4 linked regions of the Diceros bicornis minor genome follow. The main gene of each other region encodes a partner of the protein of the gene in region 3 in a complex. Links are inferred from orthologs where the notes say so. Each region holds a gene or a part of one and is shown on either strand. Other genes may lie near its edges. The genes, in order: TAF7, TAF5, TAF8 and TAF10.

Evidence for each region.
Region 1: TAF8 (region 3) and TAF7 share a complex: the UniProt entries of both Homo sapiens proteins name them as parts of the TFIID basal transcription factor complex. The link is inferred for Diceros bicornis minor from reciprocal best matches to the Homo sapiens genes TAF8 and TAF7.
Region 2: TAF8 (region 3) and TAF5 share a complex: the UniProt entries of both Homo sapiens proteins name them as parts of the TFIID basal transcription factor complex. The link is inferred for Diceros bicornis minor from reciprocal best matches to the Homo sapiens genes TAF8 and TAF5.
Region 4: the proteins of TAF8 (region 3) and TAF10 are in contact, whole or in part, in a crystal structure (PDB 4WV4), measured with the Homo sapiens proteins. The link is inferred for Diceros bicornis minor from reciprocal best matches to the Homo sapiens genes TAF8 and TAF10. Residues at the interface, in NP_612639.2 of Homo sapiens: Arg33, Thr36, Leu37, Val40, Ser43, Leu44, Leu45, Ala48, Gly49, Phe50, Glu51, Ser52, Ala53, Glu54, Ala56, Ser57, Thr60, Leu61, Met64, Leu65, Gln66, Tyr68, Ile69, Ser70, Ile72, Gly73, Arg74, Ala76, Lys77, Cys80; in NP_006275.1 of Homo sapiens: Pro115, Leu116, Phe119, Leu120, Leu123, Tyr126, Thr127, Thr129, Ile130, Pro131, Val134, Thr135, Tyr137, Tyr138, Leu139, Ala142, Gly143, Phe144, Glu145, Ser147, Asp148, Arg150, Ile151, Leu154, Ile155, Leu157, Ala158, Ala159, Gln160, Lys161.

The regions. Positions count from the first base shown.
Region 1 is NC_080740.1:59,489,605-59,497,036, forward strand, and holds TAF7 (transcription initiation factor TFIID subunit 7), read right to left. Parts: upstream 2,803-7,432; 5' UTR 2,558-2,802; intron 2,435-2,557; exon of another isoform or gene 2,182-2,434; 5' UTR 2,095-2,181; coding exon 1,045-2,094; 3' UTR 517-1,044; downstream 1-516. UniProt on the Homo sapiens protein: The TFIID basal transcription factor complex plays a major role in the initiation of RNA polymerase II (Pol II)-dependent transcription.
Region 2 is NC_080745.1:68,225,838-68,233,404, reverse strand, and holds the start of TAF5 (transcription initiation factor TFIID subunit 5), read right to left. Parts: upstream 3,021-7,567; 5' UTR 3,013-3,020; coding exon 2,454-3,012; intron 167-2,453; coding exon 1-166. UniProt on the Homo sapiens protein: The TFIID basal transcription factor complex plays a major role in the initiation of RNA polymerase II (Pol II)-dependent transcription.
Region 3 is NC_080753.1:23,422,477-23,430,239, forward strand, and holds the start of TAF8 (transcription initiation factor TFIID subunit 8), read right to left. Parts: upstream 3,004-7,763; coding exon 2,959-3,003; intron 2,160-2,958; coding exon 2,003-2,159; intron 1-2,002. UniProt on the Homo sapiens protein: The TFIID basal transcription factor complex plays a major role in the initiation of RNA polymerase II (Pol II)-dependent transcription.
Region 4 is NC_080746.1:64,662,016-64,668,630, forward strand, and holds TAF10 (transcription initiation factor TFIID subunit 10), read right to left. Parts: upstream 1,904-6,615; 5' UTR 1,889-1,903; coding exon 1,657-1,888; intron 1,517-1,656; coding exon 1,362-1,516; intron 1,126-1,361; coding exon 1,061-1,125; intron 973-1,060; coding exon 858-972; intron 678-857; coding exon 588-677; 3' UTR 507-587; downstream 1-506. Other genes in the region: ILK (integrin-linked protein kinase), read left to right, coding at 131-280; TPP1 (tripeptidyl-peptidase 1), read right to left, coding at 4,315-4,455, 4,635-4,760, 4,917-5,075, 5,157-5,277, 5,734-5,798, 6,042-6,235, 6,382-6,580. UniProt on the Homo sapiens protein: The TFIID basal transcription factor complex plays a major role in the initiation of RNA polymerase II (Pol II)-dependent transcription.

The sequences.
Region 1 (7,432 bases), on a different chromosome or scaffold from region 3:
ACTACAGTACTGACTTCCTTTATGAGCAATTTTGACCAACTGACATGGACAAATCACTTCAGTTCTCAGAATATTAAATAATTGCAGAAATTAAGTTGAAAATATTTAGAAATACAATCTTAATCCAAACCAATGGAATGATTCAATGAACAGTACTTGATAGCCCTTACTTTGTTTTGTTTCTAATATTTTAAGCAGATGTGTAGTACTTAAAAAAAAAAAAGATAAAAATAGACCTACATGTACAAAAATTAGGGTAGTTTAGGAAGGTTCTGTACCTAGTGTTTCCTAACTTCCAAATGGAGCAGGTGGATTGGAAACTTAATATAATGCAAAGATGACATTTCCCAATTTCTTTGCCCCCCGCTGTTGGGTTTTCCCTAAAACCCAACATAACTGTTTCTTTCCCTACAAAACACGATCAAATTGCTCAGTCATTAAATCCCACCAAGAAACCACCTTATAAGAGGATCTGACACACCCACTACCCCTAAAAAAGGAAGACACATTATGAGGTGAAAATTAGTTGCTTTTATTTATTGTGTTAAAACAACTTTAAGAAACTATTTGCAACTCTACATGTGGAAAATTGCTTGGAATAGCTAGGAAAATAGCTACTGCATAGGAAAACATATGCAAACTAGCTTCACTGCTTCCAGACTAGACTCTTATTGATCTCAGATGTCACCACAAAGCAGCAACACCAGCTTTTGGCAAATGGAGAAATAGCAGCAAAGTCCTGCAGTGAGGCTGTGATTACTAAGGTTGAACTGTTCATTCCACTAACCCTACAACTTTCCTACAATCACTTATCTGTCTATACATTCCTACTTTTTACAGGACAAACACCTAGCAAAGTGGTTCTGAGAGACAAATGAAATAGAAATTCACATTTATATTTGTTTATAAAACAAACACAATAGAAGGCAGTGGAGGAAATCAGAACTATTGCAAAATTATAATATCTAGTCCAGGTGATGAAGCCAAGAACTTTCCTTTAATGTTGACTAGTCTAAGGAATGAAATTCAGTATCAAAGCTCTTCTCACTTCTCTAGGAGTGATTCTAGCTCTTCCTGCAAAGAGCTGAGCTGCTCCTTTTCTCGGTCTTCCTTTTGTTTGAGTTCATCCAGCACAGCCTGAAACCTGTTCTTGAGGGCCAGGTTTTCTACTTTCATGATGAGATCTTCCTGTCGCTTTGCCCTGTCCTGTGTCTCCTGGAGCTTGCCTTTCATGTTATCAATCTGTTTCTGAATTCCCATAACCAGCGGATTAGTTCCCTCATTTTCTTGGTGCTGTTCATCTGATTCATTTAGCTTGTCCTGTAGCTGTCTTTCCAGATCTTCCTCAGTGTCAATGATGTTTATATCTTCTTCATCCTGATGCTGTGTCTCATCTTCGTCTTCACTGCTGCTGCTGAGATCATTGAATATCTCCCGAAGCTCATCGTGTTCTAGTGAGTCATGGCCCTGCCTGTGGCCAGACATTCCTGGAGAAGAGATATCAAGGCCTTGATTTTCTGTTTCTTTTGTTTCATCTTCAGCAATTATTTCCCAACGAGTACTGACAGCTTCAGCATCTGTACTCAGCAACCGCTTCACTTCTTTTTCCACATCTGGAGATTCAATATACTTCTTCTTTGCTGTCTTCCGGAACCTTCTCTTTCTGACATTTTTTAGAGGCAGAGTAATTCCATGGTTCCATATAAACTTCTTCTCTTTGTCCTTATCCTTTTTCTTGCTTGCTTTGGGATCAGCAGTAGCAACTGGTTCCTCCACAGGAGGGCACAGATCACCATCAACTGTGGAGACAAGCATCTGACAGATATCAGCTGTCTTGTAAAAAGTTTTTTTATCAATGGTTTTCAGACTTTCCATAACACACGGCAGATCTACCAATTTGGAGGCCAGTGGGACCCGGTCCACTCTGACGATTCCATGACGCCCATCAGGGTGTAGCTCAATTGTCAGTCTGTCCTTCAGGTTGACATGACCAGACTGTACTGCCCGCCTCACAGTAGAGGCATATTCTGGAGGTAGCCGTAAGATAAACTGGCTTTCTAGTTCGTGAGGAGCATCATCTTTGCTCTTACTCATCTTTATTTCTTTCAGACTCACTTCTCCAATAACCACTTGTTGCACTAAAAAGTTCCAGCTATTGCAGCAGTTAGAAAGACCTGTTTGCTATGAATGGAAATCTTTAATTACAAATAGTTCTCGGTAGTACAGCAGCTAAGCATCTATTTTCTCTTAATTTTGAATTAAGCCCCAAGTCTTTCTAAATATTCTGTGCCTGAATACCAGTGGTTACTGACACCATGACTTATTCAGTTCGGTCCATTTAGATCTACTAGCTGCAATGCCAAGTTCCAACCTCTAGATGCCGCTGCCGAACAATGCAGAGAGAGCAAGCTAGCAAGAAAGCAAATGGCGGCTCCTGCAGAAAGATTTTCGGCACAGAAAGTAAGGCCCAGCAGACACTCCCAATCCACAAAAGGTCCCGGAACAAAGATATTCAAAAAGCGGAGCGCAGTGAGCTCTCTTCGCCTCGGGTACTTACAATCGAGTGACGACTATAAACCCAGCTTATCCAGACAGGAGCCAGCGGAAGCAGCAGCAACTCGGCGCGAGGCGGCCGGGCCGAGCGTCTCCTTCCTGATTCCTTTGTTCTTCCCGGCTCGTAGCAAAGCGATCCGCTACTGCTTATCAATGAAATGGCCCAGGATGGGCAGCACGAAAGCTCACCGGGACCCGCAGCGCCCAGCGCCAAGCTGCAGCTCCGCAGCGAGACAAACCTCTGGGCGGAGCTGCAGACGTAGCGGAGGAGAAAGCACTACGTCACTGCGCGAGGCGGCCAGCGGCTGTGAGTGACAGCACGCCTCACGCGGAAGTACGAACTGCCCCAGCGCGCGCAGGCGCAACGCACAATTACGCTATCCGGCGTGATTTGGCTTCTCGCGAGAAGTTGGCTTTACGCGTTAAAAGTGACAGTGTTTCATAAACAGTTATTGGTTTGAGAAAATTTAGAGAAAACGGTTCCAAGAAAGACGTAGGTCCTGCCGCCACCCCCGTCGCTGAGCCAGAACTTTCACCGGATCGCCGTGGGGCGGGACAGCGTCTAGGCTTCCGGGTGATTTCCGGAAATAGGGCGTCCGTGCGCAAAGCGTCTTTGCTTCTGGAAACGGCTCGGATGCTCCCCCGGGTATATCCAATATGGAGCCGATACAACAATTTATAGTTAACCATACAGTGGATTTTAAAGTACCCAAGTCAGTCGAGTGAGGAGGACATGCTGCTCACTATATAATTCTATTTTTTGTTGTTGATTATGAAAATGCCCAAAGGGGACTCATGCCTCAGGGTCTGTTACCGTTTTGACGGACCCCAAGGGAACAAGGGTGATTTCTCTTTTTAATATGTTTAGTTTAGATATAAATGTAAACAGAGAAGTAAGTGTTCTTCTGGAGGCACGTATTTGTTTAGATCAGAGTTGTCTGGTAGACAAATAGTCTGATCGAAGTAGAATATAACTGAAGTGTTACTACCTGCCACTCACTTGCCAGTAATTTTTAAATAGTTCGGAATGTTTTTCATTCCACCCTTGCTGTTTTGATAACTGTTTTCTGCTTGTCTCTTCTCTGGGTATTCAGGTATTCATCAACACGTATTTATAGTAGTTTGGCCTAACTATGTAACAGTTTCCACTTATTTATTTCCATTTATTTTTTAGTAGGATCAGCTTGGTAGAGCATCAAGGTCATTAAAAATTTAATTTCTGTCCTCTAAAATATTAACAACTGCATCTAAATTTGAGAGACCGCTCTTAAAATGGGACTAACATTTTCAAAATTCACTTTATTTCTTTATGTACTTATTGTCTCCCTCACCTCAGATTGGAAGCTCCATGATAATCAGGAGTCTTCTATCTAGTTCATCATGGCCCAATGCCTAGGATCAAAACGTGAGAGATATACAAAAAATATTTGCTAATTGAATGAAACAATTGATCCATCTAGAAAGAACATATAGTCTAACTTCCACAATAATTTGCGAGAGAAAATACATTCTATGTGACCTTAAAATGAGATAGAGCCACTTCATAAACATTTACTCTTTAGTCAAGGACAGTGCCAATTGTTATGAGCAGAGAGTTTTGCTAATAGTGTGTGTGAATGTGTCCTCTTTGGTTTAGGTAGACTGTCATACTGTGTATCATAGGAGGAAATTAAAGTGGTATGACACCAGTTTGGTTTTTTTATATTAAGTTTGAAGGAGATGTTATGCTCTTCAGATAACTGTACATTAGTTCTCTCTGTTCTATAATGTGTTGAAAAATCTTAGCTGATTTATCTGTAAGTTCCAGGATGATGTATTTCCTCTTTTTGAAGATGAAATTTTTTTTACTGTGCTTGTCCTTTAATTATACCTGATTTTACTTATTTTATAGATATGAGTTTAACAGCTAGCCTCTGCATAATGTTTTATTTAACCATATAAAATGTGAGTCCATGCTTATACATGAAAATAATCCAAATATTGCTTTGCATTTTATTGCCTGTGAGTTTTATGATGCTCAAATAATCCTTGTCAGAGAAGTAACTTGAGATAAATTCTATGCAATACTGATTTGCCAAAATTATGATGTATTTTAGTTAGTAAGCCTTTAAATGGAAGATTATCAGATATAATTAAAAAGGTTAACTGAAGTTTCCCCTAAAGTATCTACCTCTTTCAATCCCGAAACATATTTTCTGCTTTTGAAATGAATGCATTTTCTGAGTGCTGTTTTTTGTTTTTTGGGTTTTTTTGTAGGGGGATATTCACCCTATTCTATTGCCAATCTTCCTCCTTTTTTCTTCTCCCCACCCCCCAACCCCCAGTACATAGTTGTGTATAGTTGTAAGTTCTTCTGATTCTTCTATGTGAGCCACTGCCACAGCATGGCTACTGACAGACGAATGGTGTGGTTCTGCGCCCAGGAACCAAACCCCAGCCACAGAATTGGAGCATGCTGAACTTGAACTGCTAGGCCATGAGGGCTGGCTCTGAATGCTGGTTTTTTTGGAGGGGAAATTGCATTGATCCTAAAGCTAAGGGCTCTATCACATCATCATTACCTGAATGTCTATTGATAAATCCAGTTGTTTTTATTTATCAAAATCATTAGACATACAGAAACATTCTGAATTGATGAAAGAATTACACTCCGGTGGTTGTTCCACAGAATATCTGTGAGACAAGTGAACCAAAAGATTTGGGGAGAGCAATAAATTCCCCAGTGTGGTAACAAGTTCTCCAAAAACTTCCTTTCTATAATAAAGGAGTATCACAATCAGGCTAATGCTGTATGTTTGAAAATTTTCTGTAATAAACTTTTGATAAACTTTCAAGTTCCTTATACTGCGGAAGTTAAAAATTATGGGTGATGGGAGAAGCCTTGCTTATATTTTTGAGATAGAAAATTATAGGGGTGAGGAAATAGCAAACACCCCAAAAAAGTACACTTACATACTGCAATATCAGTATATAAACAGTAAAAAGCAGGTTAACTAAAATTTAGCAGTCTCCTGTATCAAATAGGATGCTTTCCATAGAAAAAAGACCAACCTAAGAAAAGACCAACAGTGGTTTAAATAATCAGAAAATCTGTTATCTCAAAAAACAGGTAGTTGAGGGCCGGCCCCATGGCTTAGTGGTTAAGTGCTCGAGCTCTACTACTGGCGGCCTGGGTTAGGATCACATGCGCACACCGACGCACTGCTTGTCCGGCCATGCTGAGGCAGCGTCCCATATACAGCAATTAGCAGGATGTGCAACTACGACATACAACTATCTACTGGTGCTTTGGGGAGAAAAAGGGAAGAAGAAGAAAAAAAAAACAGGTAGTTTAGGGCAGCTCTGTCCAATAGAAATATAAGAGCCACAAATGAAAGCCAAATATGTGATATTAAATTATCTGGTAGCCACATTAAAATGGCAAAAAGAAACGAATTAATTTCAATAACATTTTATTTAACCTAATAGTCCAAAATATTATCATTTCAACATATAATCAATGTAGAAATTATTAATAATGTATTTTATTCTTATTTTGTACTAAATCTTTGAAATCTTGCGTGTATTTTACACTTAACAGTACATCTCACTTTGGACTAGCCACATTTCAAGTGCTCAAGGCCACATGTGGCTGGTGGTTACCATATCGGACAGTGCAGTTCTAGAAGTATGGCTGCCTCTAGGCATGACAGAATCATTGGCTGGCATAAATTGTTTTTTTCTTCCTAATTTTGGAGAATGGGCATTTATTTTTACTTTTTCTATTATTCTTTCAGCTTTGCCCTCATCTCCTTGTAAGCTTACAAAGTCTGTGGTCACAAGAAACCTGCCAACAGTAACTGGGGAACTTCCTTCCTTGTCTATGGTAAGTTTAGAGAGTGGCTCCCCCCAACCTAAGTCTGTCTTTCAATTTGATTGGACCAACTTAAGCCATGTACCTATCCCTCAATATGTACCTATGGCTCAATAATAGTCACCAGGGGAATACCCTAAGCCTGTGATTTTCAAAATGGTAGGGAGGAGGTGATATTTGGTAATGTCTGGAGACATTTTTGATTGTCACAACTGTGGGGGTGGGGTCTACTGGCATCTAGTGGGTAGAGGCCAGGGATGCTGCTACATATCCTACAATGCCCAGAACAGTCCCCCCACAGCAAAGAGTTATCTGGCTCAAAATAGTTCCAAGCTTGGGAAATCTTGCCCTAAGTTTATTATTTTAAGCCTATATTCCTAACTAAACACTGACAAGAGGACCCCATTATTGGGTTTAGATCTATCAGAACCTACTACAGCTCTGAATACATTCAGCTTCCCCTGAGGTACAGGGAGGGTGGACACCTAAACTAAAAGAAAAGTGTTAGAAGAGAGGAAAGGGCTTGGGCAACTGTCTCAGTCCTGTCAGGCTGCTATAACAAAATACCATAAACTGAGGGGACTGTAAACAAGAGAAATTTATTTCTCAGTTCTGGAGGCTGAGAAGTCTGAGATAAAGGTGCTGGCAGATTTGGTGTCTGGTGAGGGCAGGCTTCCTGGTTCATAGATGGCAGTCTTTTCGCTGTAACCTCACGTGGTAGAAGGGGTAAGGGAGCTCTCTGCAACCTGTTTTACAAAGGCACTGATGCTATTCATGAAGATTTCACCGTCATGACCTAATCACCTCCCAAAAGCCCTACCTCCAAATATCATCACACTGGGGGTTAGGTTTCAACATATGAATTTGGGGGGGACACAAACATTCAGTCCATAGAGGCAACTAATAGTATCCGTGAAAGAGCTGATTATTTGGGGGATTATAATAATATATATGTAATTCCAAAAAACATACAAATGGCCAGTGAGCACATGAAAAAATGCTCAACTTCACTAACTGTTAGGGAAA
Region 2 (7,567 bases), on a different chromosome or scaffold from region 3:
GGATAAAAGAGTTGGGATAACTCTGCCCGATGGCAGTCCAAGGAACATTCAATGAAGTGTTTCAGTCCACTATAGTATTCTTCATACATTGTGGGGTCTCCTTGTTGGTTGTAGGCTGACAGCACGGCACTGACATCCGGCTGGTCTTCCACAGCTACACTTCCAACTGTTTAAAAAATGAAAACAACTTTCAAGAAAATGACATGTTATGTACCAAGTAACTGGGGCTATTTTACTAAGGTCCAGAGATGAATTGTTTCTCAAATGTTTCTCCCACTCCTCTCAAGCTCTCTTCCCCAACACAACCACGTGATCTTTAAATGGGATTTTCACTTTGTTTCCGTCACCCATCCAAAACTCCTTCAGCTTGTCCATATCGTAAAATAAAATTTTCAAATCAATAACAAAAAGATCCACTATTTTTCCTGGAGCTACCTTATATTAAAGACAAATTTTATAAAACAAGGTATGTGCAAATCAAAAAACTATATTAATCTTCTCTCAAGGCTCAGTGCAAACGGCACCCACCACCACCAACTCATGCCCTGGAGTAATAGTCCCAGCTCTCTGAGCTACGTAAGTACTTTGTATCTTTCCTGTAATACATCCCATCATATGTTACCTTCACATGTGTACATCTATTACTCTTCATAAAACGTAAGCATTTTAAGAGCAGGAAGGACCTTGCCTTATTTATATTTCCAAAAGATAATTCAATTTTATAGGCTTAAAACAATTTCCATAACCACCATTTCAAGGCAGAAAACATGAGTATTTATTTGTAATATAGCAATCCCAAACAATGATACATCTGTCAATCAAATCAGTTTGATTGTTGGCAATTTTTAAGTTGCAACTGTTATGTTATGCTCTTTACTGCACAAATATTATAAAATCTGTTAATCACTTTTATGGCTTCTTTTCCTCCTTACTGGTTTCTGAGTTATGATCTAAAAAAATAGGTCAAGTTTCTGAAGATATGAGAGATTACAGTAAAATAACCAACAACATAATTCATCCATCTTATAGTTCATGTGCAAAATTTAGCATTCAGAAAAGATTCCTCTCAATCATATTTTCACACATTTCTTTTAATGAGTTACAGTGCTATCTAATTATACTTCACTCTGGCAATGCTGCAAAAATTAGGTTTCATAAATACAGATTAATTTGCCCAGAGGCTCTGCACTAGATAATTTAATTCAATAAATGTTTATTATCAACTCAGGATCACCTTTAAGACCTTACATTGTGTAGGAGTTTTACTCCTACATGGACTTGGAGACAACAGTTGCTGGGAAAAGGGGCGGGGGGGCCCTCAGATGTCAGGGATGGACACCTAGTCATAAACTTATCAGTGCTAGGCATTGTACATATATTATATCCAAGCCTCACAATAACCCATTTAATAGAGGGGGGAAAAGCTCAAGCTTAGGAAGAATAACTTAATCAGCATCACACAAGAAAAAGCAACAGAAACAGAATCTGAACCCAGGTCTCCCCAACCCCTATTCCTTTGAGGAAGACCAGCCCTGAGCTAACATCTGCCAATCCTCCTCTTTTTTGCTGAGGAAAACTGGCCCTGGGCTAACATCCATGCCCATCTTCCTCTACGTTATATGGGATGCCCCCACAGCATGGCCTAACAAGCGGTGTGTCGGTGCGCGCCCGGGATCCGACCCCAGGCTGCCAGCAGCGGAGCTCGCGCACCTAACCACTACGCCACGGAGCCGACCGGCCCCCAACCACTATTCCTAAACGAACGGTTCTCAAACTTTGTCATACATCAATACCCCCTGGAAACATTTATTAAAAATGCAGATTCCTAGTCTCCACTTCCACAGGGTTTGATTCACTTAGTCTGAAGTGATGCCCAGGAATCCGCATTCCCCAAAAGATTTAACACTGGTGGTCCTTAGCCTATATTTTGAGAAATACTGGCTACACCAAGTTCCATCACTCCCTGGCTGTGTGATCCAGAGCAAGTCTCTTGGCCTTTCTCAGTCTTTTTTCTCATCTCTAGAATAGAGGTAACGTCTACGTCACAGTTTGAACTGTAAGAATTAAGATACACAACTTCAAGTATTTATAGTACTTAAAGTATGCTAGTACAGAACTGTACAAATATTGCTAGTGTCAAGGTAGAGCTGCTAAAAGCTCCACAGCCCAAATAAGAGGAAAGGGACCGAGAGCATGAAAGTCCCCGCCTCTCCGCGCCCACCTTCCCCATACATCCCTCTGCTCAACAGCTCTCCTCAGCCTCTCGCTGGAATTGACAGCTCGGAAGACGGTTTGCGCAGCCGGCGCACTAGAGAAAGGGGCGGGCATGTGGCCCTAGAGGCGGGCCCAGGAAATTCAAAACAAGCCCGCAGAGGTGCAGGCCTGCCATCCCCTGCCTTCCCGGCTTGCTCCCCTTCTTGCCGGCCCTGCCTCCCCGAGACCCCGCGGCTCACCTTTCCCCGGAGCCGCGGGACCTGTGGCTGAGCCCGAGACGGCGGCAGCCCCCGAAGTGCCGGTGCCCGGAGGGTCGGGGGCCGCAGGGCCGGGGACCGAGGCTGTGACCCGGCTGAGAAGCGCGCTAGCCGCCTCAGCGCTGGCGCCGTCCGCCTCTCCCGGGGCTCCGGAGCCCGCCACTGCCTCCTCCAGCAGCCGGGCCTCACGGCGCAGCGCCTCTTCGGCCTCGCGAAGGTTGCTCTGCCGTAGGAACTGCAGCACGGCCAGCAGAGTCTGTCGGTCGTGGGGAGCGCCGGCCTCCGGAGCAGCGGCGGGCACCGGGGCCGCCCCCGCCGGGGCAACGGCGGAGACAGCCACCGAGGGTTTGGGGGTCCCGCCATCCCCGCCGGCCGAGGACGACGCCGCAACGTTCCCGCCGCAGCCGCTGGGGCCGTTGTTGGTAGTGCCGCCGCCACCCTCACCAGCGCCGTCCCCCGCCTGCGGAGGTAGCAGCGTCGGCGGTCCCTCAGACTCTAACTTGACCGCCACCTCCGTCTGCTCCTCCGCCAGCGCCGCCATCTTGCGGCTGAGCCACCTCGCGCCGTCAAGCGTGATTGCGTTTTCGCCACATGGAGGGTGGGGAGGAGCATTTTACGACAGTTCTGGAAGGCAATTTACGGCAGTAGGAGGGGCGAGAAAGAAGGAGAAGAGAAATGGGAGCCAGGGCAGCTTTCGAAAGTGAGTGACAGAAAGGCAGGAAGTGAGAGTAGGCAGCCGCCTATTACGTTTGCCTGATAATAATTACCATTTATTACAGACCAGCTATATTCAGGCACTGTGATAGACGTTCTACATTATATGACCACCTTTAATTCAACAATCTTATAAGGTACTGTTATCCTCACTTTACAGATTGTTCGGCGGAGATCCAAAGAGGTTAAATAACTTGCCAAAGTCACACAAGAAGGAAGTGCAAAGTGTCAGGATTCGAATCCAGGTCTTTAACTCAAAAGCATATATCATTTGTCAGAGGGAGGCTTCTGAGATAATGGTAATGTTTTATATTTTGATCTAGATGGTGTTTATTTTTATTTTATTTTTGCAGTTTTTCTTTTTGTAAAAATCGAGTGCACGCTTAAGCTTTGTGAACGTTATAGCATATATATTTCAATAAAAAGTTTTTAAGTACCTGAATTTTGTGATTGTGAAATATGTACATTCTGTATTCATGCTATATTATCCATTATTACAAATAAACTGCATTTTAGTTGTATATTTTTAAATAGTATATACCGTTTTGCAATAAGCTTCATTCATATGCATGCTTCACTGCTGTGTATTTTATCTCATTTGAACCTCACAACTCTGTGGGATAGGTACAGACAAGAAAAGTGAGCCTGGGACATCGGGAAGATCTGGCACAGTTATTCAGGTTGTTGTTTTGAGGTCTTACTGGCTTCCTTGAATGACCGGGAACAAGTTACTTAACTCACTCTACTCCAGTTGCTCAATTTCTAAAATAGGGATGATAATAATAGTACCTACCTTATAGAGTTGTTGTGAGGATTAAATGAGGTAAAGCGTGTGTGATACCTAAGATAATAAATAGCTATTGGTTATTTTTACTTCACCTTAAAAGGTGTTTTTTTTTTTTTTTTTTGCTAACATCCGTGCCCATCTTCCTCTACTTTACATGGGACACCGCTACAGCATGGCTTGACAAGCGGTGCGTCTGAGCCCACCGGGGATCCGAGCTGGCGAACCCAGGCCGCTGCAGCAGAGCGCAAGCACTTAACAGCTGCACCACTGGGCCAGCCCCTAAAAGGTGTTCTGTAAATGTTTGTTAAGAAAGTCCAATCATAATGTTCAGGGTGATCTCAAGACTGAAATATAAAACTAATTTAATTGGCTATCTAAAGTAAGAATATGAAACATGGGGTTGGAGGTGGGGGAGAGAAGATGAGCAAGAATTGGTTAGCGTTCACTCAGCACTGGCCCAGAGAGAGAAAACCTGAATCTGATGGTACACTCTTATGAGGTGGGGAGAATTCATCCTTTTCTTCGGGATCATTCAACTCACTTTTTCTGATTCAGTATTCACTAATTAACTTAATAATTAATTGAACATTTAGATAGATGAGAGATGCCGTGAATAACAAGCCCAGGTGTGTTTACTATTCACTGAAAAGATGTTTTACCCCATTATGACTAGGAAATTAACTTTCTGATGCATACATTAGTCTCGTGAATCAAGTCCTGGGAACTGGATCCACCTGTACAGCTGAAGCCCAGACACTAGGACTCACAGAAGTACAGCCACCTCCTTTCCATCTGTGGCGTCTGCTTTTTACCTGACTTTGTCTCTTAAGTTCCAAAGAGTCTGGGTTGAGACTTCAGCCAAGGTTGCCTACTCCAAGTAGAGTGGCTTTGTGTTACACCACAGTAGAGATGTTTATTGAATGCCCGCAAGTCCCATTTTTAATTTTTGTTTCTCTTTTCCGCTTCCTTTCTGATCCCTACTCCCATTCTCCGCCTACTCTCTTCCTGGGATGCTTTAAGAAGTCTAGTGTCAATCTATATCTTATTCCCTTATAGAACAGCTGCTCTTTCTCTCTGGATGTTTTTCTTTGTCTTGGATGTTCTTTCATTTCACTCTACTGTATCTAGGATTACCTTTTTCCTGTCTATTCCGATTGGCCCTTTATGCACCCATTCAGTCTGGGATATTTTTTTTTTTTTTCGTGAGGAAGATCAGCCCTGAGCTAACATCCATGCTAATCCTCCTCTTTTTGCTGAGGAAGACTGGCTCTGAGCTAACATCTATTGCCAATCCTCCTCCTTTTTTTTTTTTCTGCAAAGCCCCAGTAGATAGTTGTATGTCATAGTTGCACATCCTTCTAGTTGGTGTATGTGGGACGCAGCCTCAGCATGGCCGGAGAAGCGGTGCATCGGTGCGCACCCGGGATCCGAACCTGGGCCGACAGTAGCGGAGCGCGCGCACTTAACTGCTAAGCCACAGGGCCGGCCCCTGGGATATTTTTTTTAATTCTGGAAATTTAGCAAGCATTAGATCTACAAATATTTTCTCCCCTCTATTTTTCCCCTTCTTGTATTCTTGTGATGTAGATATTGATACTTATACGTCTCTCCTCTAGGTCTGTTAACTTTCATATTTTTATGTTCACCTCTTCCTGATACCTTCTAAAAGCGTTCCTCTACCTGATTTTTCAGTGCAGTAATTCATTCTTGGCCTAGATCCATATTGCTCCGTAACCCATTTATTGAGTTATTTACTTCAACCATTATATTTTCCATAGTATTTTGAATTGGTTCTTCATGATTTATTGTTGCTGCTTCATGTAACCCAGTTGAGTGATTTTTGTCTCCCCTGAGGACATGTGGCAACGTCTGGAGACACTTTTGGTTGTCACAACTCGGGGTGGTCCTACTGGCATCTAGCAAGTAGAAGCCAGGGCTGCTGCTAACCTTCCCACAATGCACAGGACAGCCCCACCCCTGCCACAACAAATTATCTGGCCCAAAATGTTGATAGTGCCAAGGTTGAGAAACCCTGATGTAACCAATATGAACTCTTTTCTCTTCGAGGATATGTGTTATTTTTTTTAAATTATCTTTCCATCTGATGCATTTAATCTGTTTCATCTAGTCTAGGTTGTTCCATTTTTTGCTTTAATGGGAGTTGCACCTCCTTCTGCATCTCATTACTTTTCTCCATGCATTTGTATTTTCCTGGAGGTATCAGCTACCTTGGCTGATATGTATACCCAGAGGGAGAGGCTGAAGCCCAGCACTGGGAAAAGGCAAAGGATGCGCCAAAAGGAGGAAAGACTGTGGTGTCACTGTCTGGGCTGCGTCACTCCCTGTTTGCCAACACACACGCATACATGCAAACACACGTATCCTCAGGTTTTCACAGTTTATACAGATCTATAAATTACAATGCCATCTCTAGGGTTGGGCGTGACAGGGGAGCCAGCCACAAGTGTGAGTTTGCCATCTTGTTTAGTTCTTAAGTTTAAATTCACACTGGTGGCTGGCTTCCCCGTCATACCCAACCCTAGAGATGATACTGAAACTGATAGATCTGTAAAAACTGTGAAAACTCTAAGGGTGTGTATGTGTGTGTGTATGTAATAGCAGCTCAAAGTGAAAGGGGTCAGGGGGCCACAGACAAGAGTTAGTTTGGGGAAAAGCCCTTTATTTGTGTTTGTCTCTTTCCCACCTCACTCTGGAAAGAGGAATGTCAAAAGTAGCAATTGACTACAGGAAAGTTTCCTGAGGGGTGTGTGTGGGTGTGGTGTGGGTGTGGGTGTGGGTGTGTGCATGTGTTGGCAAAAGGAGTGATGGAGCCCAGACAGTAACAATGTTTACTGTGCTAGAGGGAAACCTTGGGACAGGTGGCAGGGGGAGGGGAGGGGATGTGCAAAGGACCAGAAGTGAGAGAGGTGAGAGCATATTTAAGAAATAGAACAAAACTCTTTATGGCAGGAGCATCAGCATGAGGAGGAAGAAGAGATGAGACCAGAAAGCTTAGCCAGGGTTGGATCCTGACAAAAATCAATCCTGTTCAAGACTTTTGACTCTATCCCTAAGGTAATAGGAAGCGGTTGGACCATTTTAATCTGAGGAAGGGGATAAGCAGACTTATGTGTTTATATGTCTCAGGCTGAATTGGAGGAAAAGATCAGCGGGAAGCAAGACTAGAGATAGCAAGTTCAGTTTGGAAGTGGTTGCAGTAAACTGACCTGCACTGTCTATCAGTGTGTGGCTATTTACGGCCACTGAATGTGGCTGGTCTGAACTGAGGTGTTCTGTAAGTGTAAAATACACACTGGATTTCAAAGACTTAGTACAAAAAGAATGGAAAATAGCTCATTAATAATTTTTATATTGGTAGTGTTGAAAGGATAATATTTTTGATATGAGTTAAATATTTTGTTAAAATTAATTTCCTGTTTCTTTTTACTTTTTTAATGTGGCTACTGGAAATTTTTAATTACATATGCCACTCACTTTATATTTCTGTTGGATAGCACTGATCGTCTCTGGATGGGTAGCTTTCAAACATTTTTGGCCATGATTCATGGTAAGAAATATACTTACATAACGCACA
Region 3 (7,763 bases):
AGGTCCTAGGGTGTCAAAGGATACATACAGGAAACAGAGACTTTGCTCCAAGCCGGGTCTAAGATTGGGGTCCCTAGAAACGAAGTGATTGTAGTGAACAAGCACATCAGTTCTGCCCGATGCTTACAACTAACGCAAATCCTAAAACTGACATCCAGAACCACTGACAACACGGAGGCGCTCGAGTCGCAGCAAGCCCTCAGCTTAAGCCACCCATCCTTGGTACTCCTTTGGCTGAAGAGGCAGGCTTTTATACTATCTCCAGACCTTTTAGTTCTAATACTCACAGCTTTCCAACACAACTAGTTCAGCGCCTTCACGTTCAGCGGCAACCATTTCTTCTGAGGAAAAAAAAGGCGTCTTCTAGTGGTAGGAGAAAGAACCACCTCGACTATGAGGATCTTTAAACTCGGAATGGCGAGATCTTTTCAAGAACTGAATTCCTATCTGTTGGGAAATATGAGTCCACTCCTTTAGGACAAAAGTTTTCAGCGTGTCTAGGAATCCCAGGGTGTCCCTGACATCCTTTCCAAAGTCCACAGGTCAAAAACATTTTCAGAATAAAATTAAGACATTTTTTGACTTTTTCCTTTTCATTCTCGCATGTAGTTTTCCAGAGGCTATATGACTTGTGATGACATCATGGCTCTGCTGGATAATGGAACACATGCTTGTGCATTCTTATGTTTTAAAATATTCTGTTTTATTTTCTAACGTCGCAAATATCTATATAGTATATAAAGCCCATGTATACAAAACTCTTCAGGGTCCTCAATATTTAAGAGTCTAAAGGGGTTCTGAGACCAAAAAGTTCAAGATCGCTGCTTTAGGAAAACATTTGGTATTGAAAAGTTCTAAATATCAGCTGCAGAGAGCCACCTCACCCCAGGTCACACCCTTCCTGGCACGCCCACATCTAGTGACTGATCAAGACTGGAGTACAAATGGAGGGCCTGTGTGGCCTGAGGTGGGATACTGATAGCAATAAGCTATGCAGAGCTCCCCAGGGATTTGAGTAATTCTTTGTCTGACCTGCATTGCAGTTCAACTTCTCCCTCTGCCTAAACCTCTCTCACTTCCACTCATAGGTGTTGATCCCTTTAAAAACACCTTAAATACCCCTATCCCTCATCCCATCCTACTAAAAATAAAATAAGGTCCAAACAGGGAAACATGTTGCACATGCAGCAAAACCTAGGTGAGACCATTCCAGGTTCCTAAACCTCAAGACATTTCCTTTTTTTTTTTTTTTTAAAGTTATTTATTTATTTTGTGAGGAAGATCAGCCCTGAGCTAACATCCATGCCAATCCTCCTCTTTTTGCTGAGGAAGACTGGCCCTGAGCTAACATCCGTGCCGATCTTCCTCCACTTTATGTAGGACGCTGCCACAGCATGGCCTGACAAGCGGTGCGGCGGTCCGCGCCCGGGATCCAAACCTGGGCCGCCAGCAGCAGAGCGCACGCACTTAACCGCTATGCCACAGGGCTGGCCCCAAGACATCTCCTTTTAAAAGTGGTTTTTCCCATTCTATAAAACCTATTCACCCTTACTCTTTGTATCACATAATATAACATTTGATTATATAATGTGTGGCATCTACTTCATGGGAATTAATCTGAACTCTCCAACAAAACTGTAAGTTCTTTGAACATAGAGAGCAAACAGCAATAATAACAGCACCTATAAGTCATCAAGAGCTTACAATGTTCCCAGCATTGAATGTTTTACAGATATATCTTACTCATACTCACAACTCCATTAGGTGTAAATTATTATCCCATTTCACAAATGAGGAAATGGAGGTTCAGGAGGTTTAGTGACTTGCCCAAACTATTAAGTGACAGAGTAATGACTTACACCCAGGTCTGTCTGATTCTAAAGCCTCTAAGTCACTTTACTATGGTCTCCTTTTTCTTAAATCCTCTCTAACACTATCACAATGCAGGACACAGAACAGATGCGTGGTTGACTCGACAAGGCCTAGCTTTCCCCATACTCACAGCTCTGCAGCATCTCTGTCAATGTTTCCACAGATGCTTTCTCAGCGCTCTCAAACCCTGCCTCTGTCAGCAAAGAGCTCACAACCACTTGCAGGGTTCGCCTCCGAGCCAGATGGTAGTTATCAGCAGGGTTAGTAGATTGTTTACTTCCTGATCTCTGTGAATCAGCAGCCCAAAAAGAGAGAAGATTTTCATTCACAGGACAAGGATACAATCACATAGTTCACATGTCATCAATGGCAAGCAAAGGTTCTTTTGCTAACTACTTATTTATCAGTGCTTAATAAAATGTGGCAGGCTCCGATGTTTAGACTTATAGATCTTGGCTGAGTGATAACTGAGCACCCAAGGGGCTCTAAATACGGAGAATGCCTTTCTACCTACCTAAAACTTAAAATTCTAGTAACACAAAATGGTTGTTTTTTACTTTCTATTTCAGCAGAGTATCAGAATACATTACATAGCTAAAGAAACACGCATGATGGGAGTGAATTCATGTCTACCTCTCAGAAGGAAAAAAACAAAAACTCTCTCTTGTTCCTCCCATTTCTACACCATCTCACTAACAGGAAAATTAAAATAATAACACAGGATGCTGAGAAGAGGAGGGCAAAGGATAATAGCCAAGTAGGAAAGCTAAATATTTTGAAACAGGAATCCCTCCCAACTTTGGCTAGCCAATAAGAAAGCGAAAACGGCCTCTTCGGACCAATCAGGAGGTGTTCCGGGTTCCCAACACCCAACAGGGAACGAGCCAATCAGTACACAGGTCCACCAACTCAGGAGGCCGCCGCCAAGTCCCGAGGAGGGGGGGCATGTACGGCCTGGAAGACCTTCCTCCACTCGGAGCTCATGGTGGGGCTGGACTTCCGGGTATGAGCTTGTCGCCCAGGCTAGGGGAAAGTTACAGAATGCCCAGACTCTCTCGGCTTCGGCCCCGCGCCTCCCGCCCTTACCGTTCCGGAGCCGCCGGCCCCGGCAGTGGCCGCCGTGTCGGCCATCTTGCTCGGCGTAGTGTGCGCGAGCGCAGGGCAGGATGGAACTTGTAGTCGCGGGGCGGGGAGGGGCAGGGAGGGGCAGGGAAGGGGCGGGGCAGCGCGAGCCCCTGCGGGCTTTCCGAAGCCCAGATGGGGGGATGCGTTTGATGACCCCGGCTCACGTGACATTCTGTGAGCGTTGGGTTCAGGGGGTCCCAGTACGCCACGGAATTGGCCAGGAAGACGCGCCCTCGGTTTCACAAGTCTTTCAAGATGAAATCGTTTCTCATAGAGAGCACAGCTCTGGAACGCTCAAACTTGCGTGATTGTTAGCAACACCTGGCTGGGTCCCGTCCAGTCCCAGCGACTGACTCTCTGGGGTGGGGCCTGGGAATCTCTATTGTTAAACTCTCCAGGTGATTCTCCTGTGCGGGAAATTTGGGAAACCTTATTTTGTGCTGACAGCTCCGCAGTTCCCAAGTCCCACTTGGAACCAGAGCCTAACGACCACCTAGTGCACGTTTTCCTCTGCATCCAGCTGCCTTCTCGCACTCAATTAATCCGCAGGTATTTGCGCGGCCAGCCGGGAGGCGCAGGCGGCAGGAGGCTGTCCCTTGCCCGCCTCACTCCCAGGGCGTTGCGTCCACGCGGTGCCTGTAGTTTTCCGTGGCTCACTCGCCCGTCAGCCCCTTTGGATGGGGTTCTTCGTGCGGGGACCTCACCATGCCTCCTTCGTCTCCGTTTGCGGGTGCCTGGCAGGACGCAGACTCTGGGTTTGAATCCTAACACTCGCCAGCCGTGGGACGTCTGGCACATTACCCAACCTTACTGTGCCTCAGTTTCCTCTTTTGTGGAACTGGGGTGGGATTGAAAGCAGGGGAAAACATGAGCTAAAATACACAAAGGATCTGTCACGGTGCCAGACGTATAGTAAGAGGTCAAGAAACAGCGCCTAATGTTGTTGATTTCCTGCCAAGCGCGTGGAGCGCCCAGAAGGCAGAAGTCTGGGAACCTGCGCTGCGCCTGTCCTGCAGCGCGCGCCTGAGCCTGGGAGCGCGCCCGCCCCTCACCCAGGGCACGGGGGGCGGGGTCTGTGGGCGGGGGGCGCGGCGCCGGGTGAGCCGCGGGGCCGCGCCAGGAGGAGTCGGGGCCCAAACCTTAGCTGAGCGGAGCGCCCAGCCCCTTTGTTTCCCCCGCCCCCTCCTCCCCACTTCCTGCCCAGCTTTAAACTCCGGATCGGCGGCGCGGCGCGGACTTTGTAAACACGCCGCGCCCGCGGGGGCGGAGACTGGTTCGGTTTGGGCGTCTGCAGGAGGGGTCCACGCCCCCCCAACCCCCGCGGCTGGAAGTTGCGACCCCCCTCCCCCACCTTCCCAAAGACAGAAGCCAGAGGCGGCAGGAGAAAGTGCGGCCACAGTCGGTGCTCTGGTGGACTCACCTGCCAAGGAGGTAGGCTTGAGGGCTGGAGAAACCAAGATAGAGGGAGTGTCAGCATCTCCCTCTTTCTCTGGGGCCTCCAAGCTCAGGCTGGGTACCCGGGGTAGGGGGTCACCGCGCCTTATCACCTCCCCGTTGTCACCCAAAGCTCGGCTCACTTTCTCTCTGAGTGAGCTGTTCTGCACGTAGCTGAAGGGCAGAGAAGCCCCTCAAAGCCCTGAGCCCTCTATGTCCCCACAGCCTCCCTCCAAGCTGACCTGGAAGCCCAGTGGCTTCACTGGGCTGTCGTCGTTCTTCATACCTCAGATACAGGGGTGGGAGGCAAGTAGGAGGGCAGAACCAGTGTGGAGAGAGACCCTTCAGGTCCTCCTGCCAGCCAGGGCAGAAGGAGGAGGCCAGAGTACAGGACTGGAAGGAGAGACCCCTCACTGTTCGTCCCTCTGGTGTCTGATGGGTACACAAGTGACGGGCTTAGCCTCTTCTGTGTCTTTTGTGTCAGCGAGAGGAATAACGGAAGAAATTGGTTGCTGCTACTAAGGGAGCATTAATGTATTCATTTTCAGACATTAATTGGGCACTTACTATGTGTCTGGGATGGTGTGGGATGCTGAGGGTGCAATGATGTTAGTCATCCACAGTTAGTGTGTGTCATAGACCGACAGAGATAAGGTGCCAAGTTGGAGTGGCTGGGAATGCTTCAGAGAGAAGAGGACGTTTGAGTTGTCTTCTGAATGATGCAAGTCACCAGGCAGAGAAGTGGTGGGAAGTCATTGGGAGCACTTTTTCGTTCTCCAGAGCTGTACTCATGCCTGACAGTGGTGTGGGGCATTAGGTACAATGAGGACTCAGATGCAGTTCCTGCTCTCTCTAACCCACTGCCTGGGCATGAGGAAGAGGTGGGAATGAACAGGATGAATTCAGGGAAAGGCAGGTTTCTAGGCTGATCCCTAAGAACCCAGAAATTCCCAGTTGGGTGCAGCTGGAAGGGTCCACCTGGGGGTGATGCAACAGTCCACACAATCTTGGGGCACCCACGCCCATCTCTGGACTCTAGGACTGTTTCCTCTAACAAATCCTTGCTCTCTGCCTCCCACTCAGTTCTCTTTGAGACCAGACTTGGGTGAAGAGAACTGGAGCTCCCACTGCTTTCCTGCAGAGTGTTCTGCTCTTTCAGTTTCTGGGCTCCTGGGAGAGGTGACGGGCACAACACCTGTTTGCTGTGGCCATACTCTGTCTGCACAGGCTAGATGTGGGGGATGTAATGGCAAACGAGTCAGAGCTTCTATCCCCCTGGAATTTAGAATCAAAAGCGTTTCTGAGGATTCCAGCAGGATCCCAGTCTATGCCCAGTCGTTGAGACCATGACCTCCATGGTCCCAAGCGCCTTCTCTTTCCTGTTTCCCTCCCTCAAGGGTTCAGAATATTAGCTGACACTTATATATAGCACTGGCAGGTACTATTCTCAATGTTTTAGGTGTAATGTCTCATTTAATCCTCTCAATGGTCCTATGAGGTAAGCACTAGGATTATGTGCATTTTATAGATGAGGAAGCTCAGGCACAGAGGAGATATGTAATTTTCCTAAAGAGGACACCAGAAATAAATGGCAGAGCTGGGATTTAAACCCAAGTCACTTGACTTAGAAGGCCCTGTTCTTAACCAAAGGCTAGCCTGCCTCCTGGACTGACCACATAGAATGTGCACTTGAGCCAGGGGCTTAGGAGTCCCTGAAAGGGAGTCCCTGGTCCTTTATCTTGAGTGATACAGAGGAGAGCAATCTGTTAGCTGAGCGCGGGTTTGCAGGGAGCCCCAGCAGGCCTGGGGGCCCTAGGGTTATGGTGATTGCACAGAGCTTATATGCTGTCTAATGGCGTGTGTGTGTGTGTGTGTGTGTGTGTGTGTGTGTGTGTCTGAGTAAGCCTCACTGACCAAGAGGAACAAACCAAGGTTTGATGCAAGAACGAACACAGCATGGATGTATTGTGCCAGAATCTGGGGATGTGGGAAACCAAGACACCTCTTTTGTTGGAAATCTTTAAGAATAGCGTGGACCCTCGTATTCTAGATTCCAAAAGGAACAGTCCAACTTGGTAGCTAAGTAAGGAAGATGCGGGGGGAGGAGTGGAAGCAATCTTGAGATGCTCACTTCTCTTCCCCACAGCTGCTGCATCCCAAAGCTGCCTCTGTGCATCTGACCCCATCCCTCCAGGCAGGCTGGGACAATGCCCATGGTGTGAGCCAGGCCACAGGGCAGAGGTTCCATGGGAACCCATTTTTCCATTACCTTTCTGAAACTCTAGGTTTCTCACAAGAGCCCTCTGCACAGATCTGGGGAGGCTCTGGGGCAGTCCCTCTCTGCCAGCAATCAAACCGCCTCGTGCCTCTGTCTTTGAGAGAGGGGTGTGTGTTGGGGGGATGGGTATTGATGCAGGGAGTGAAGGGCAGAGGTGGCCACACTGAGATACAGATAAGCAGGATGTACCGACCTCCAGGCTGCTCCCCTGCCACCCCCCGGCCCTGCCCCCCCGCTTCCTCTCTCAGCTTAGGGTGGGGTGCGGTGGAACCCTTGGCATGCTCCGGCCCCCTGCCCCAGGCGCTCTCTTGGCTGGGGAGAACAGGTTGTACTCTTGAGAAAACCACAAGAGGAAGTTTAGGGAGGGCTGGGGGTGGGGAAAGTTCTGGGGCCCCTGCCAAGTTTCCCTTTCTCTGCTGAGCGGTGATAGGTGTGTTTATTTTGGTGTGTTTCTCTTGCCCTCAAAGACATTTAAACTTTAAACTCTTGAGTTTCAAAGTGCTGTCAAGGCCTGCCCCATTACTGCAGGGGGCCAGAGACACTGTGGAAATGGGATTGGAACAAGGTGCCCATTTGTTGATTTCACCCACCTGGGATTTGTGCTGGGTGGGAAAGGCTGACTAACCCCAGAAAGTCTCTTTTTCTCTCTCTGCCCTTTCGCCTTTCTCTTCCTGCAAGCACTCCCTACAGCCCTTAATCCAGAGGAATGTGGTTATAATGACCGCTTAGGAGCTGAATGGTGTTGTCAGGAGCAACACATGTTGCTAAGTATTTTACCTGCCTTATCTCACTTAATATTCACCACAACTCCAGGTAGTAAATACCGCTATCCTTCATTTACAACGAGGAAACAGGCTCAGAAAGGCTAAGAAACTTGGCTGAGGTCACACAGCTAGTAAGTGGCAGAGCTCAGATTTGAACACTGGTTTGTCTGATTTCAAAGCCAGTGCTCCTGATGTCTAAATGAACCCCCAGATCGGAGCATCAACTTCCCCAACATATCACACCCTGAACAGTAGGGAGGTTGAGATCCAAAGGTGTTTTAAAAATGATG
Region 4 (6,615 bases), on a different chromosome or scaffold from region 3:
TAACTGTGGTGGGGCTGGGCTCTCATACTGTGTATGTTTGGATATACAGTAATCCTGTCCTGAGGGCTAGAGGCCTTTCCCCACATGACTCAAGTTCTGAGACCTACCTGGTTTTTCCCTGTATCTGCAGGTGGCACTGGAAGGCCTTCGGCCTACCATCCCACCAGGCATTTCCCCCCATGTGTGTAAGCTCATGAAGATCTGCATGAATGAAGACCCTGCTAAGCGACCCAAGTTTGACATGATTGTGCCTATCCTGGAGAAGATGCAGGACAAGTAGGGCTGGAAAGTCCTTGCCTATACTCCAGAGGTGTCAGGACACAGGGGAGTGCACCTCCCCAGAGCTGCAGGCCTCTGGTTGCCTTCCCTGCCTCCAGTCATGGTACTACCCCAGCCATGGGGCCCATCCCCTGCCCCCGTCCCTACCACTGTGGCCCCAAAAGGGGCTGGGCTCAGAGCTTTGTCACTTGCCACACGGTGTCTCCCAGCATGGGAGGGATCAGCCCTGCCTGTCACAATAAAGTTTATTATGGAAACAGGCTGGTGTGGGGTCAAGGGGACAGACAAATACATTTAGGTTGGGTGGCTCAGGTGAAGTAGTGCGGCTTCTTCACATTGATGCCATACTCGCTGAGGGCAGGGGTCAAGTCCTCCATGGTTAGAGTGTACTTGCGGTCCTGAGGGAAGACGGAAGAGCACCAGCTGAGCAGAGGAATCCCAGATTTTAGTCCCAGGTGATGACCCTGAGTAGGTCATTCACCTCCCCTAGAGCTTAGTTTCCCCAAAGGAGTTTCAGCATAAATTAAGCCTCTGCTGCTGGGGAGGTAATTACTGATTCAATGAGCCTCCCCTCACACCTTGCTCTTGCTTCGGGAGCTGCCAGAGGCTGTGCCCTTCATTTTGCAGTGCTGTAGGGCATCGTTGGCAATATCTGAGATGAATTTCTGGGCAGCTAGGGAGATGAGCCGAATTCTAGAGAGAAAAAACTGGTATGAGGAGGAGATGGACAACAGAGTCCACACAAGCACCCAAGGCTCTAACCTGCCCACAGGTTACTCACATGCGTGGGTCCGAGGCCTCAAAGCCAGCACGGTTCAGGTAGTAACCAGTCACTGCATCTGGGATCTGAGAAATCAATTAGATGACTGTCAGTGTTAGCCCTGTGCACGGCAGTGAGAGAGTAAGGGAAATGGGGGAGGACAGGCCTGGCTATCAGGAAGCTCACAGTTTGGCTGGGCAGAGGGGATAAATCACAAGAGCTAGCAGGGAAGCAAATACAAGAGGACGCTGGAAATCCAGGTGGTGTGGCGGAAAGTTGGCGTGACAGCGTGTCAACAGCCTTGTTCAGGCTGGAAGCCCACCGTAGGCGTGTAATCCTCCAGCTGCATCAGGAAGTCCACCAGAGGCGTGCTGGACACCACCGGCTTCACCTCTCCGTTGGCCGCGCTCGGCAGCACGTAAACCCCGTTAGACATGGCCCCCTCGGGGGGCGCCGCGCCGCCCGCCGACACCGGAGCTGGAGAAGAACCAGCAAACTGAGACACGGAGGTGGGGGGCGCAGGGCCCCGGCTAGATCTGCCTTAGACCCTCTGCTCTCACCCGCCGCTGGGCCCAGCCCAAGGCGCTGCCCTCGCCCTCACCCGTCCCGGCCCTCACCCGCCCCGCGCCGCTCGGCCGGCTCCCCGGCCCGCGCCGCCACGGGTCCCGTGCCCGCTGCCGCGGCTCCAGCCCCAGGCCCCCCTGCTGTCCCCGCGGGGCTGGCCTTGTTCTCCACAGCAGTGCCGGCGGGCAGCGCGGCGGGGGCCGAGACCGCGGGCGCCGGGCCCGGGGCCGAGGCGGCGGAGGCCGGCGCCGCCTCGGGGTCCGCGCCAGAGCCGCTGCAGCTCATCGGGCCGGTGGGAGAGGCGGCGAACAGAGCCACTTCCGCTTCCGCTCACGTTACGCACACACACCATGGGTGACGTCACACGCCTCGCGACTCGCCGCGCCCACGCCGTGTTCGCCCTCCGCCGTAGGTTTTCCGCCTCCCGGTTGCCCATCCTCCCGCTGGATGACATGGACTGAAGGTTGGGGACCAGCCTAGGAGAATGGCGCTGGCCGCGGACATTCCACCCTCTACCCGCGCCGTATTCAAGTGTTCCGCTGGGATGGGAACCCTTGAATGTCGAGGACTCTCTTCGGTGGGTCTGGGACCCCCTCATTCAGTCTTACGCCTAAAGACCTTGCTTTGGGGCTCCTGGGCCCAGCCCCCTCGACCAGGAGGCCTGCCAGCCTGCATCCTTTATAGCTCCCTCATTCAGTGTTTTTAAGGCTTAGTAATGGAGTTGGAAAGCCCCCACTCCCCGCCAGCTGCCGGGAGAAGTGAGGGCAGCGGGAGAGCGCACACAGTGTTGCTGTAGATGGTGGAAAGAGGTATTTCAGCCTGGGTAAACAACATATGCAAAATCACAGCGAGTGAAAAAGTGGGGTTTTAAATGCAGCAAACATTTATTTGATTCCTATTTGCCAATCCTGAGCTAGGGCCTGGGAATACAAAGTTAAGTAGGACAAGATTCTAGTCCTCTAGGCACCAATGGTCTTGGAAAGGGAGGCAAACAGGTAATCTGGCAATTTCAATATTATGTGAGATTTATAATCCTAGAGGTAGACACAGAATGCGGTGCAGCAGAGGAAGGGAACTAACATCTGCTGCTTACTTCTGTGTGTCAGGTGCTCTATCAACTTGATTCCATTTAATTATTCCTTGCTTGTTATGAGAGGCAGGTATCGATATCCCTACTTAACATGAGAAAAAAGCCTCAGGGAGATGAACTTACTTGCCCAAGGTTCTCTTCTAGTCTATATCAGAACCAAGAATCAAACTGGTTTGGTTTCAAAAATCTAGGATTTTTCTGACATGCCAAAATCAACTAATTTCAGGAAGCCAAAAGGTTCACAGGAGAAGGTGACTTCTGAGCTGATTCTTGAAAAAGTCCTGGAAGTCAACCAAGCAAAGGGGAGTTAAGAGTAGTGTTAAGGGCACAGAATGTCTTGAGCAAGAGTGAAAGTGTGGGGAGGAGAGCAGGGGAGGATAAACAACTTGTTACTCAGGAACAAACAGCAAGGAAGGGATCCAGTTTGTGAATCATGGTAAAAAGACTGAACTTTATCCAGTAATCTTTGAAGGGTCTTAATCAAGTAAATGACCTGATGGGATTTGCATTTTACTCTGGAAGATGGTTTAGGGAAGGGCAGAACGTAAGGACACTTTTTGCAAGGGCCTCCTACAGTTCAGAGGAGAGACAAGATGGCTCTAAGCTAATGTAGTAGCAGTGGAGATGGAGAGAAGCAGACGAGTTCTAGATATACTTAGGAGACATAACTGGCAGGACTTGTGGATTGATAAAGATGTATTTAAGAGGTGAAGTCAATAGGACTTGATTGAAGGTGGTGATGGGGGGAGGTGAAGGAAATGGGAGTCTAGGATGACACTTAGGTTTCTGGCTTGGTTGGAAGAAGCGTAGTATCATTTACCAAGAATAAACAAAAGAGAACAGTTTGGGATTGGGAAGGAGGGAGATCAAGTATTGAGTTTCACACATCTTGCATCTGTGGTATCAATTACTGTTGGATAGAAAGTCTGATTTGGGAGATGGTGATGGCTGTGGATGCCAGTGATTGATTTCTTCCAGGGGACAATGGGTAGAGTGACGAGAGCAAAAGACTAAGGATGGAGCAATGAAGTACACCAATATTCAATGAGGAAGAAGAGAAAGAGAAGGAGGAAGAGGGAATGAAGGAGGAAGAGAGAATGGTCAGAGGAAAAGTTAAGCCCTGGAAGCTAAAGAAGGAGAGAGAGTGAGCAACTATGACAGAGAGCCCCTAAAGCGGAAACTGGGACGTGTGCACTGGATGAAGCAGCAGGGAGGCCATTGTTTCTCAGTGTCGGGAGGAAAAAGTGAAAAAATGAAAGCAGAGGTTTCGTTGCAATGAATTGAGAGAATATGTGGTGGAATAACGTATACAGACTGCGTAGACAACCCTTTGGAAAAGTCTGGTTGAAAAGAGAAAGAAGAAATGGGGGGGGGGGAATCCCAAACAGTACTGGTTATAGCATCTGTAGAGGAACCTGAGGCAGGAGTAGGGAGACCTGAGTATCATGGAGCAGGGAAGCATTGGGAATCAAGTCAAGCTCACAGCATTTCAGGGTTAGGGAGATAAACTATCTGCAGCAGTCAACAGTTGAGGGTTCAGCAGGGCTTCCAACTGCAGAATAAGGGACCGAGCCGCCAGCCGTGGGGCAGGGGACAGGCCCATTCTCTTGGTAGGAAAGGGTCAAGGGTTGATTAGTGTCTTCAGTAGAGCTGGGAAGTTGGGTGTTCCCCAGCCTGTCACAGGATCCCAGCCAGGGCCAGAGCAGAAACCCTCACCCTGCACCTCTTCATTCAGACAGGACTCATGGCAGCCACGGGTTACCTAGGGAGAAAGTGGGCATCAGATTTGGGTCTGCTGGTCCCAGTACTAATAGACTGCACTCCCTCACATTGTATTCACATCCCAGGGGCTCTCCCACCCCGTAAGAACTGCCCTCAAGTTCATTTTAGCACTCCCCATACTCTTAGGAAAACGTCCGCCCCCTTCCATTCCACACTTACATCAAAGAGTCCTGTCCCACGCTGCTGGTAGAGCCTTGGGTTGAGAAAGCCAAGAGAAGGGTGGCCACTGAGAATTCTGTGTTCATTTATCAGGGCTAGGAGACCCCCAAACACTGGAGTAGAGGCCTGCAAGGGTGAGGGTGTAAGTAGAGGTTAGGGGTTCAGAGTGATTGGACTTTGGGAGAGGGATGTTTGAAAGGACCAGAGGTCTCTGAGGAGTCAGGGGTTCTGGGTGCAAGAGTAGTTGCTGAGTGGGGGTTTTGGAGCCAGGCTGATTCTCACCGAGGTGCCAGACACCCATGGAATGGGCACATTGTTGCTGACCACCCAGTAGCCATCAGAGAGTGCAGCCACATCTGGGTAGGCACGGCCACTGGCGTTGAAGTAACTGGATGGCGGCAAATGGGGGCTGGAGCTCAGGAACTGGGATACAGCTTCCTCCTGAAAGGCATTGCTGAGTGAGTCTTGTCTGCTGAACTGAGGATCCCCCCTACCCATCCACCCACACAAACATATGCGTACCTGGTATGAAGGCCGTGGGAACACATTGCTAAAGCCACCACCACTGATATAGTCAACAACTTCATTTGTGACTCGGAAAGGATTCTGGAAGGATGTGCCTCCCACCGTGGTGACATAGGGGCTGAGGGCAGAAGACAGCGCTCAGATCGTAGGGGTCCCAAGGGGACCTCCAAAATGAGTAGGGATGGGGAAGTATGCCCTGGATCTTGCATAGGGGCTGGACTTGCAGAGGGGCTGGACTCTGTAGGGAAGCATGTACAGGGGGATGACTAAGAGGTTTTGAGCCCTCAAGGCATGGCCTGAGGTGACTGTGCACATTTTTCCCTATGGAACACCCACCAAATCTTTCACTAAAATGCCTGGGGACTGAGGAAAAGGAACACTGGGAGCTGTGTCCTACTCAGGAGTCTTGGGGCCTGGGACCTACAGGAAGAAGAGGGGAGTGCAGCAACCAGAGCAGGTAAAGCTGAGGGCTGAGTCACAGGAGGGCCTGGTGCGGTCAGGCAAAGGTTCCAGATCAGGAGGTCACAGATGAAAGGTTGGTGGTCACAGGTAAGTGGTCGGCTAGGGTGCTTACCTGGAGGCAGGGAAGGTGGGACGGAACTGGTGTCTTCCAGAGACAGACCAACACCCAGCCCCACTGTCACCTGGGAGAGAGACCGAGTTTAGCACTCAGATTAATTGGTCAGAGCTTGGTGTGTGGGTTCAGATGTCGGAGAGGAAATTCAAGTGTTAGTCATTACTGCAAGAGGTCAAAGTTTAGAGGTCAGTCAGTGGTCTCTGTTGAGTTCAGATTATGAGTCAGAGATGAGGTTCACATGTCACTGTGGGTCAAATCTGCCAGGTTGGGTGGGTGAGTGGAGGCGGTCTAAATTTGAGTAGGAGGTCACCTGAGGCAAAGAGCAGGGTAAGACCACGAGCAGCAGCCTTCATGAACTCGGTGTTGACCCGCTGGAGGTAGGCACTGCTGAGGGAGTCCTCGTCATCTCCGTAGCTCACGGTGTGCACATGTGGCAGGGCTGACTCGTTACTGAGTAGTAGGAGCCACTGCAGGAAGGGCTCCTGTGACTCGTGCCGGCCTGGATTTTTTTGAGGGGGTGGAGCATAAGGGCAGTCATTTGGTGGGTTGTCAGGCTCTCCCTCTAGCTCATGGGATTCCCTTCAGGGAGCAAGGATCAACACTCACCCACACCCCCTCCCCACCAACCAGTCCCCATGGCAGTACCAGGGTTACTGTAGACCCAGGTGGAGATGTTGGCGCCAGCACTCATCAGGTACTGCACATCTAGACTGGCCTCGATCCCGGCCAGGCCCCGACCCTGTTGTCCGACCACACGGGCTACTGATGCCTGGTGTGCAAACTTCCCACCAAAGAGGCGCATGAACTCAGCCAGGTCTGAGTCATGGAAATACTGCTCCAGGAACTATGGAGGGAGTCAGAGCAGATATCATGGGTCAG